Oryctolagus cuniculus: one gene and its partner. The protein of the gene in region 1 purifies or fractionates together with the protein of each later gene. This does not show direct contact. Links are inferred from orthologs where the notes say so. Each region holds a gene or a part of one and is shown in the gene's direction. Other genes may lie near its edges.

The links.
Region 2: the proteins of RFC1 (region 1) and RFC4 fractionate together in Homo sapiens (co-fractionation; 7 studies listed by BioGRID and IntAct, counting the BioPlex papers as one, with this or other methods). This does not show direct contact. The link is inferred for Oryctolagus cuniculus from reciprocal best matches to the Homo sapiens genes RFC1 and RFC4.

The regions. Positions count from the first base shown.
Region 1 is NC_091433.1:33,273,482-33,278,956, reverse strand, and holds the start of RFC1 (replication factor C subunit 1), read left to right. Parts: upstream 1-1,817; 5' UTR 1,818-2,111; coding exon 2,112-2,114; intron 2,115-5,475. UniProt on the Homo sapiens protein: Subunit of the replication factor C (RFC) complex which acts during elongation of primed DNA templates by DNA polymerases delta and epsilon, and is necessary for ATP-dependent loading of proliferating cell nuclear antigen (PCNA) onto primed DNA.
Region 2 is NC_091435.1:96,451,381-96,457,105, reverse strand, and holds the end of RFC4 (replication factor C subunit 4), read left to right. Parts: intron 1-1,966; coding exon 1,967-2,110; intron 2,111-2,525; coding exon 2,526-2,646; intron 2,647-3,178; coding exon 3,179-3,304; intron 3,305-4,067; coding exon 4,068-4,148; intron 4,149-4,225; coding exon 4,226-4,342; intron 4,343-4,421; coding exon 4,422-4,517; 3' UTR 4,518-4,568; downstream 4,569-5,725. Other genes in the region: EIF4A2 (eukaryotic initiation factor 4A-II), read right to left, coding at 5,203-5,347. UniProt on the Homo sapiens protein: Subunit of the replication factor C (RFC) complex which acts during elongation of primed DNA templates by DNA polymerases delta and epsilon, and is necessary for ATP-dependent loading of proliferating cell nuclear antigen (PCNA) onto primed DNA.

The DNA.
Region 1 (5,475 bases):
CAGAGAAAGAGTTCCTTCTTCTACCCTCTGGTTCACTCCCCAAATGGCCCACATGAGTGCAGGGGTCCAAGGACTTGGGCCATCTTCTACTGCTTTCCCAGGCCATAGCAGAGAGCTGGATTGGAAGTGGTGCAGCCAGGTCTCGAACCGGCACCCATATGGGACGCTGGCACTGCAGGCAGCAGCTTTATCCATTATGCCACAACACTGGCCCCAGTTTCCATTGATTTTTTTAAAAAATATTTATTTAATTATGTGAAAGGCAGAGAGAGAGAGAGAGAGAGATCTTCCATCTGCTGGCCCACTCCCCAGGCTGTAGAAGAGCTGGATCAGAAGTGGAGCAGCAGGGACTGGAACCAGTCCCTATATGGCATGCTGGCACTGCAGGTGGTAGCTTTACCGGTTATGCCACATCACCCCTTCCATTGATTTTGCAAAGCATCTAATGACTCCCCTTTTGTGAACCAAATGTTTCCGTAAGCAAAACCATGGAGTAGATAACTATCTCCCTTTAAAACATCAGCATTGTGTGATAATAATAATCATGTCTTAAAAACGAACGATTTCTTCTGCTTGCATGCCAGGAACAGTTCCGTAACAGCCCTATGAAGTAGTACTGTTCTTATTTTGCAGTCGAGGCACAGACACTTGCCTAAGGTCACCGAGCTAGCCCGTGGTGGGGCCAGGAACCTAGCAAACGGCCTCAGAGCGCACTGTGCAGCCAGGCCCTGTTCCTGAGTCACAGCTGGTAAATTTTAAGTCTTCAGTGTCAACGTGGAGATGAAATGAGCTACAGTCGGAGAGCACAGAGCTGCATGTCTGGCACACACCGCAGTAGGTGTGTTTAAACACCACAAGCTCACAGTGCCCAACCTTTGTTGTATTCTAGAAGGCTCTGCCATCTATCAGTGTAGAGATACTGGGATCACCAAGTGCAAGACCCAAGGAATAGAAAGTTTAAGGTCAAAGCTGGAGATACTGTTTTCTCCACAAAACTCTTCATGGTCTCGTATTCTCTCTTAAAATTGAATGCAAATGTTGCATTCTATTCCACGATTCAGGGACTTCTCTGTGACTGTGACTTCCTGGATCATAGTTTTTCTACGGAGACACACCTTTTCTAAGCCTTGCCCCCCCCCCCCCCCCAAGATTTATTTGAGGGAGAGGGAGAGAGCAGCATCCGCTGGTGCACTTTCCAAATGGCCGCCAACAGCTAGAGGGGGCCGCGACGAAGCGGGAACTCCATGGGGGGCCCCTTGTACCTGGACCACCATTGGCTGCTTTCTCTGGTGCATGAGCAAGGAGCGGGATCAGAAAAGGAGCAGCCAGGATTCGAATCCGAGGTCTGGTTCGGAATGCGGGCCCCAGACCACAGCCCTGTGGGGGCCATGGCGGAGTGGCTCAGGTTTGGGAATTAGGAAGCCAAGATGTCCAACACCTTGGGTCTGTAACAACATTGACCCCTTAACTTGTTTGCTCATCAACGGGCAGGACTGTGGTGATGGATGAGTCACTGTCTGAGTTGTACAATATATAAAGATCACCCTTAGGCTCGCGTCTTTCACACTGTTCGTATCCTCTTATTAGCAGGTGAAGAAAGCCGATCAGGTGGGTCAAACGTGAAGAGAAGCGCAGATCAGGGTAACCCGTGTTTGGTGAGATTCTTGTTTCAGGATAGTTGCATGTACCACATGCAACGTACACCTCGCCTGTGGATCTTACCGCCCGTAGAGCTAAAAACTTTGGAAAGCTACTGGAGGGCGGTGTCCCCTCCAGACGTGTAACTGGGAGGAACCTGGGTTTCCGATGTACCACGTGGGTGCCCGGGCCGAACGCCGACGACGCAAAGCTACGCCCCTCAGCCCGGTCCCGCAGTTCCCCGCGAGGACAGCCTCCGGGGCGGCACCTGGGCCCACGTTGCACCTCCCGCCTCCGGGCGGGGCCGAGGGGAAGCGCGCGTCTCGTGACGTCATCACCGCGCGCTGCTGCCGCCGCTTCTTCCACTTCGCGGGAGAAGTTGTTGGCGCGAATGGATCCCGAGACCCGATAACGGATTCCCCAGACGGCCAGCACGCCCAGCCGCCCGCCCGCGCCTTAGTCCTGGGGCGGCGATGGTGAGCCCCTGGGGGAGGTCGTGCGGCTGGAGGGCTCGGGAGGCCTTGGCAGGCCGGGTGTGGACGGGGCATTCGTGGTATGCGGAGCGGGGGAGGACGGCGATGGGGAGCCGAGGCGCAGAGGGGCCACCCACCCGGCACGGGGCGCACGGCTTTCGCGGGTCCGCGGACTGCAGCCCGTGCTGCTAGGGCGCAGGGATTTGAGTGCAACGCGGCACTTTCCCTCCCCACCCCCCACCTCTACTTTTGGGGGAAGGGAGGAAGGAGGAGAGTAATGATGGTGGCTTGGGAATGCAGCTGTGAAGTTTTCTTCCTGTTAAGCGTTGCCCCACACCTCAGTGTGAGTCCTTCCCAGGAAGCCGATTTCCAGGTGTGGCTCCTAAGGAAGAAGAATGTAACAACCTTTCCTTTCTCTTGAATCAGCTGTGTCAGGCCTTCAGCTTTGATTCTTGAGAACTCCACCAAGCGCCCGTCTCGGTCTTTTGGAGACCGGGGGTGCGTGGAGAAGGTATTTTACTTAGATGAGCTCATAGGAGTCCAAGAGATCCCACGGTTGGTTTACCAGAAAGCCGATTTACAGGGAGGAGAAGCAGGTGTAATGTATTTGACAGCTGTCATCCCTCGTCACCTGGTGTTGAGATCTTTAAAGAACGTGCAGAATCTCAGTGTGTCGTTCTGGATAAGCATTCACACGAGTTGATGGGGAAAACATGCAGCTGCAAAACACATTCGTGAGAACATGGCAACATGTGAAGTATTTTTAATTTAAGACAATTTAAGATGTTCCATTAAGCCAGAAGATAGTTAATGATCAGCTATAATTTTTTTTTTCGTTCTCCAACTTGTCAGAATGACAGCATTCCAGGGGGAAAGTGTTTTATGCCACATTGGGAAACCTTGCACCTTTTTGTATTTCTTCTCAAAAAACGATAAAATAATGATGACAGTAGACACCCTCCCTGTCCGAGCGACTTCAGGTCAGTGTGAGCCAGGTGCTTTATCTGCTCTTTCAGCCCACACCGGTAGAGTTTTGCAGATGGTAGAGGCATTTTGTTGAGTGTTGAGGTTTGTCATACAACCACTACGGTGATCATAGTGAGAGCCTAGGTATTTCTGACCACTACATTACACTGCCTCTCTAAAATGGTCCTCATTGCATTTTGGAGTTCAGGCACTATGGTATTGTGGGAACTTGGTGAGATGTGACATCTTGAAGGTGAAGAGGGGGTGGATGGTTTTAGTATAATAGTTCATAGTACTGTAGCATTATAATTTAGTTTAGTACTTAACGTCTGGGCAGGTAAGTAGTTCTTTGAGCCTGTTTTCTTACCTGAAAGAGGAGGTAAATGCTACTGGCCTTAAGGGATTGTTTTGACAATGCAGCAAGTATATAATATATGTAAAACTTCCATTCTAGGGCATGGCATATAGCAGATATTACACAACTAGTCAACCAACAATAATGAACTTTCTCAAAATGAACTCTTTGGAAAGTCAAATAGAGTTTAAGGAATATGATCGGTGCTTCTTGTGTTGTCAGTTATGAGCAGTGGGTTAAATGGTCAGCTTTTGAGCTGTCAGGTACATTTAATTTCAATCCATTCTTTAGTACTCCTATTCGTGGTGCAGGTGAAAAATGAATCTGAAAATTCAGATCAAATAGGTCAGTTTTTTTTTTTTTTTTAAAGATTTATTTGAAAACCAGAGTTACAGAGAGGCAGAGGCAGAGAGAGAGAGAAAGGTCTTCCATCTGCTGGTTCACTCCCCAAGTGGCCGCAATGGCCAGAGTCCGACTGGTCAGGAGCCTCCTCAGAATCTCCCACTTGGGAACAGGGGCCCAAGGCCATAGCAAAGAGCTGTATTGGAAGTGGAGCAGTGGAGACTTGGACTGGCGCCCACATGGGGCACTGCCGCATCTTATGCTACAGCGCTAGCCCCAGTGGGTCAGTTTTACCATTTATTAATGAGAAAAGGCTCAAAGTAGATAAGAGTTTTGGACTACATTGGTATTTAATTTAGCCCTCCAGACTCAAATACAAACATTAGCAAAAATCGAGACTAAAATTTGTATTCAAGAGTTTATAAGCACCTGTGTACAAGTTTTATTATAGGACAGTGGTAACCTCTGGGTTGTAGTTCCTTTGATAAATGTGGTGAGTGGTATGCAAATTTTTGTCCAGAGGAGTACATATGGGTACATGCACACCGTTTTAGGGGATTTACCTATTTTCTGAAGCCCAACTGTGGATGAAACATAACATCTCTTGCCCAGAGAACTGCATGTTTTTCAAATAGTTCTCAATTAAAAGTAAATGAATATAATACTTATAAAATAATTACTCAGTAAATGAATAAAATACTGTATGCACACAATAGAATATTCTGCAACCATTAGGAAACTGAGAAATGTTAATGCTGTGATATGAAATAATTATCAAGATATAAAATCTTTCTGTAAAGTCATACAAGGAGCTAGCTGATAACATTTGTTGCCTCCAGACATGGGAAGTATGTGTTTGAGAGACATGGTAGGAAGGGATACATTTTCCTCTTGTGAATTTTGAACTGTGTGAATATATTATTGGGGTGGGCATTTGGTGCAACACTTAAGATGCCACTTGGGATGCCTGAAACTCATGTTGGAGTGTCTGGATTTGAGTCTCAGCTCTACATCCAATTCTAGCGTCCTGCTAATGCACACCCTGGGATGCTGCAGGTGATGGCTTAAGTAGGGTCTTCCACATTGGAGACCCTGATTGAGTTGCTGGCTCATGGCTGCAGCCTGGCCCAGCCCCAACAGTTGTAGGCGTTTAGGGTGTGAACCAGCTAATGGAAGATCTCTCTCCATATGTCTCTGTCTCTCTGCCATTCAAATTAAAACTATTAATAAAGAACATATTAGCTATTAAAGGATAGAAAATTAAAAACAAAAGGAATGAAAAAGAAGGCATGTAAACAATTTGAATTGCTGTGATATTCGCTCAAAGTGTCAAACCTGAGAAATGGCCATTTTGAAAAAGTCAGTGTATACAGTGAATTTCCTGATAGAATTCTTGAAAGTATGTGTAAGGTTGTGTAAAACCTTCATTAGACTTAAGAGCCAGCTTTTTGAGCAACTGTCATGTCAGTCTAAATACATTATAATTTGAGCTGCTTCATTGCCCTGCCCTGTGTGGTGTGCTTCACATCACGGTTCACTGTGTGAAATGCGTCCCTAGGAATGGTGCCATGACCCTGTTGCGATGTGGCTTTTACCACATAAACCAGTGTGGGCCTATAGGGCTCCTAGCTACCTCTCTTGATTTCATCAGTCTTTTGAGTGCCTTAGGCTGATTGTTTCTGTCTCAGGGCTTTTGTTCTT
Region 2 (5,725 bases), on another chromosome or scaffold:
GTGACATTTTTGGTTGGAGAAAAATTTTAATGGCTGATTATCAAAATCAGTGTACAGAAAGTGAAAGTCCACAAAGTAGGAGAAGGTATTTACAAATCATTGATCTGAAAAAGGACATACATACCCAGAATACATGAAGAGCTCTTAAAACTGATTAACAACCCAATTAAAAGATGGTCAAGGGATTGGAATAAACATTTCTCCAAAGAAGATATACAGGTGGCCAACAGCCCATGAAAAGATCTTCAATCTCATTAGCCATTAGGGAAGTGAAAATCAAAACCATGATAAGATGCCACTTTGCATTCAGTAGTATGGTTATAATTAACCAGACAGAAAACAGCAAATATTGGCAAGGATGTGCAGAAACTGTGACCTTCATACATTGCTGAGTGGAACGTGTAATGGTACAGCTTCTCTGAAAAGTTTGGCAGTTCCTCAAAAAGTTACCCTATGACCCATACTCCGAGGTACATGCCTACAAGAAATAAACGTGTCTGCTTAAAGATTATTATATCATTATTTCTGATAGCCAAAACATGGGAGAACCCAAATGTGTACTTGATGAATGGATGAATAAGATGTGGTGTATTCATTTACCATAGCATTCAGCAATAAAAAGGAATGCAGCCACGACACTCTGTACAACATGGATGAACTCTGAAAAACTTAAGAGGGGCTGGCATTGTGGCATACCAGCTTAACTGCCACCTATGATACCAGCATCCCATACAGGCGTGGGTTCTAGTGCTGCTGCTCCACTTCCAATCTAGCTCCCTGCTATTGGCCTGGGAAAGCAGCAGCAGATCTTCAGGCCCCCACACCCAGGTGGGAGACCTGGAAGAAGCTCCTGGCTCCGGACCAGAGATCAGCCCAACTCTGGCTGTTGAGGCTATTTGGGGAGTGAGCCAATGGATGGAAGATTCCCACCCCCACCCCCCACCCCCCACCTCTCTGTAAACTCTGCCTTTCAATAAATAATAAATCTTTAAAAAAAAAACGTAAGGTGCTAGCCTTATGAGATGTCAGAATAGGTAAATCTTTTGAGACATAAAATAGACTAGAGATAACTTAGAGGTGGGAGAATTGGAGGTGTGACTCCTAATGGGTACAGAGTTCTTAGCTGGAGTAAAAAGTTCTCCCAAAATTAGACTGTGGTGATGGTTACACAACTCTGGGAATTCAGTCATCTCCCTTGTTGCAGTTTGAGTTTTGCTTTTTTTATTTTTAAAGATTTATTTATTTAGAGAGGGAGACAGAGAAATCTGTCCGCTGACTCATTCCATAAATGCCTGCAACAGACATGGCTGGGCCAGGCCGAAGCAGGAGCCAGAAACTCCAGCCAGGTCTCCCACGGGTGGCAGGAACCCAAGTACCTGGGCCATCATCTGCTGCCTTTCTGGTGCATCAGCAGGGAGCTGGATTGGAAGCAGTGACGGGACTCTATCCAGGCACTCTGATATGAGATATCATGCCACAGGGCTCCTCCTGGTTTTGCTTTTTGGGGTTTCAGTAACCCACAGTCATCTAGTCTGAATGTACTACATGGAAAATTCTAGAAACATTTCATAAGCTGTCTTGGTTATCAGGTTGACTGGAGTATCACAGTGCTTATATTCAAGTAACGCTATTTTACTTAATAGTGGCCCCTAAGTGCAAGGGTGGACGCTGGCAATTTTATTACAGTATATTATACCTGTTCTGCTATCATTAGTTGTTAACCATACTCTGCCTGATTTTTAAACTGAACTTTATCATAGGTATGTCTATATATGAAGAAAATAGATTCGGTGTTGTCCAGTTTCTGGCATCCATTAGGGATGCCTGAGGTGAGGGGTTTACTGTATACTAGAAAGCACTGTCTTGTACATATAAAGTGGGTAAACTGCATGTGTATTATATCTAAGCCATGCTGTTAAAAACAACATATATGTTAGTGTTCAATTCCTGTGTTTCTCTGAATTAGTGGGAAGCCATGTCCTCCTTTTAAGATTGTGATCTTGGATGAAGCAGATTCTATGACCTCAGCTGCTCAAGCAGCTTTAAGACGTACCATGGAGAAAGAATCAAAAACCACCCGGTTCTGTCTCATCTGTAACTATGTAAGCCGGTAGGTATATCGCCCAAAAGATAAGTATTAGACAGCCTTATTTTGGTATCTTCAATTTGGAGGAGAAAAAAAATTAAATTTTTGGAGGCTGCACTTTGTCATGCATCAAATCGGGGTTTTGTTTTGTTTTTAAGATTTATTTATTTATTTGAAAGTCAGATAGTGAGAAAAGAGACAAATCTTTCATCCACTGGTTCACTCTGGCTAGGCCAAAGCCAGGAACTTCATCTGGGTCTCCCATGTAGGTGGCAGGGGCCCAAGTACTTGGGCCATCCTCCATTGCTTTTCCCAGGCCATCAGCAGGGAGCTGGATCAGGAGCATATGGGATGCCTGTGACACTGGTGGTAGCTTTACCCACTATGCCACAACGCAGCACAGGTTTGTTCCTGACTCGTTTTTTGTAATCTTTTGCAGAATAATTGAACCCCTGACCTCTAGGTGTTCAAAATTCCGGTTCAAGCCTTTGTCAGATAAAATTCAACAGCAGCGATTACTGGACATTGCTGAGAAGGAAAATGTTATAATTAGCAATGAGGTAAATACTGATTATTATTACAATTACTGATTGCTTTGATGAATGCATGAGACCCTAAAACAGTTAAATGTATTTCCTCAGTCCTGATGCTAATTCTTCAGGAAACCTAAGTTAAATGAGCAACAATAGGAATATCTAGGAATCACACGGTTTAGCTTTTGGTCACTGTTTCGAGATTTCAGAGTCCCAACCCAAAACTGAGGGGGATTTCATACATATAACACAAATTCTGCAACAAATCTCTAGTCTCCTACCTAATACTGTGCTGTCTCAAGTTATAGGAATATATAAGGCCTTAGTCATTATAAGAAAATTTAACTACGATAGAGAAGTTAGAACTGTCTTTTTGTCTCATCCCTAATCCTTCCACTGGACACATGCTTTGTCCATGAACTCAGTTACAATAGGACAACAGGACTGATGGTATTCTTCCATACACAGAAATGATGGCATGCCCCCCCCCCTTTCATTTTATTAAAGGAAAATGCCTTAATTGGCCATCACAGGTTAAAAACAACTCTTTTCTCTTCAGGGAATAGCTTATCTTGTTAAAGTGTCCGAAGGAGACTTGAGAAAAGCCATTACTTTTCTTCAAAGTGCTACTAGACTCACAGGTGGAAAGGAGGTCACGGAAAATGTAATCACAGACATTGCTGGGGTAAGAACATAGGATAATTCTGCAATTTTTAGGTGGCTGTAAGGGGATTTTCACCCAGTTAACACTGTCAAATTATACTTTAAAATTTTACAAGTAAATGTACCTTTGTGGTACTTAAGATTTTTCAGCAGATAGGTTTCACCTATTTTGCCAGAGTTGGTCATTCCTTGTGTATCCAATGAGGATTGGTTTCAGGGACCCACGGGTCCCCAAATCTTACCAATCCCTTTATACATAAAATGCTTTGTTAACTAGTTAATACTGTACTACTTAGTAAATACTGATAAAATTTGTGCATTCAGATCAGTACACACCTTCCCCCTTACTGAGCGGTGATGTAGAAGCCACGGATGAAGAGGCTTGATTTTAAGAGGCACTTCCAATTTACAGAAGTCATTTGAGTACCTGCCATACTACCTTGTACACTGTGAACTTAGCTGGGAAATGACTTGAGTAATCAGTGTTGTCGACTTTCCAGTTCCTTAGTGGCACCTTTCCATGGAGGGAAATTTGGAGAAAAGGGACTTTGTTGATTTTCACTACTGCCATGGAGAATTGTCACTGGAGTACCTCAGGGTCAATAAAAAGGTTGGGCTCCAAGTCCCCCAACCACTGGCTAGAGGAGCTGCTTATTCCTTAGACTATATACAGGAACCCCTGTGACTCAGGCCCATAGGGTTTTCAGGCTAATTCCTGCACAAGCTTCCTATTGAGTACTGCTTCTGCCAGTTAATACTACTTCAGAAACCAATGACTTTTCTAGGTAATACCACCAGAAACAATCAATGGAATATTTGCTGCATGTCAAGGTGGCTCTTTTGACAAACTAGAAGGTGTGGTAAAGGTAAGATTCGGCTCATTAACTCTGGGTAAAGGAAGAAGTGACCCATGCTCCCATCAACTGCTGCCTTTCTGTTGTAGGACCTAATAGATGAGGGTCATGCAGCAACTCAGGTTGTAAATCAACTTCATGATGTGGTTGTGGAAAATGACGACCTCTCTGACAAACAGAAGTCCATTATTACTGAAAAATTGGCTGTAAGTAGGCACTGCTTTTGCACATGCTAAGTTATTTGGGTCTACCTGAAAGAACACTAACATCTTGTTTGTATTACAGGAAGTTGACAAGTGCTTAGCAGATGGCGCTGATGAGCATCTGCAATTGCTCAGCCTTTGTGCCACTGTGATGCAGCAGCTAACTCAGAATTGTTAAATTTTGTAACAGATTTTTTGGAATGTAAATAAAGTGACCAAAAACCTTAAAGTGAATATACAATTTATTTAACATTCAAACTTCATTAAGACATGTGCAATATGGCAATTTTACTGGGAGTTTAACCCTACCTAAGATATGATTGCTTGCTGGGGCTAGCAACAGGGTCCAGTTCACACTTAGCACTAATTAAATACTTTATTGAATAAATACAATACCAAACAAAAACGCATTCAAATGCTTTCTTAAAAAAAATCAATTTCAAAGGCCTTTCTATTCAGGCTAATGACAAACACAATAAAGGCAGATATGCTAGTTTAACATAATTGGCTGATTTTATACAGCACTTATACCTTTTAGTCCACAAGTATATTATTAAATGATAGAGAACATCTAATACAACCATTTCTACAGAACTAGGAAATAAATGTCTAAGAAAGAAAGATTTTACAGACCCCATCTTTTATACCCACCCCAACAGTCTAACTCTAAAGAGGAATAAGCCAATGACTTTCCTCACAAGAGCTCACGACTAATGTCGCTTTGCTATCAAAATCTGTATTTCTGATCCGTTATGAGCATTGAGACAAGATTCAAATATTCCCAAAGAAAGAAGCACAATGCACGTTGTGATCGCCTATTCAGCAACAGCGAGCACTGCATTCAAACTATCTCATCCCAGGAATTAAATAAGGTCAGCCACATTCATGGGCATTTCCTCCACTGTAGTATTGTAGAAAGTCTCAATGTCACGAAGAATCCTCTTGTCTTCTTCAGTAACAAAGTTTATAGCCACACCTTTCCTCCCAAATCGACCCCCTCTGCCAATTCTGTGTAAGAAAAAGAAAGCAGCAATCAGAATACTTCTCATGCACTTGTGAACTATTGAACATGACGATCCACTTGTTAATCATCAGCTGCTGTTTACTTATCAAGGTTATAGTTCGTGCTAATTGGAGCACTACCTGCTAATCAATATCTAGAGAAAAAAATCTTCCTTTGCAGTTAGTGCCAAAAGGATTCAATCAAGGCTTTTCTGGCTGCAAAATGAGATTTTCAGGCATCTTGAGCATTATTATAATAAAGCAGATGACAGTACTGTGTTTGGGGTAGTGAAATTAAAGCCCATACCAAAGTGGGCCAGCCAAGAGCAGGTGTCAGCCTGGGACAGATGTAAACACCAGGGATAAAAAGAACAGTTATGTAAT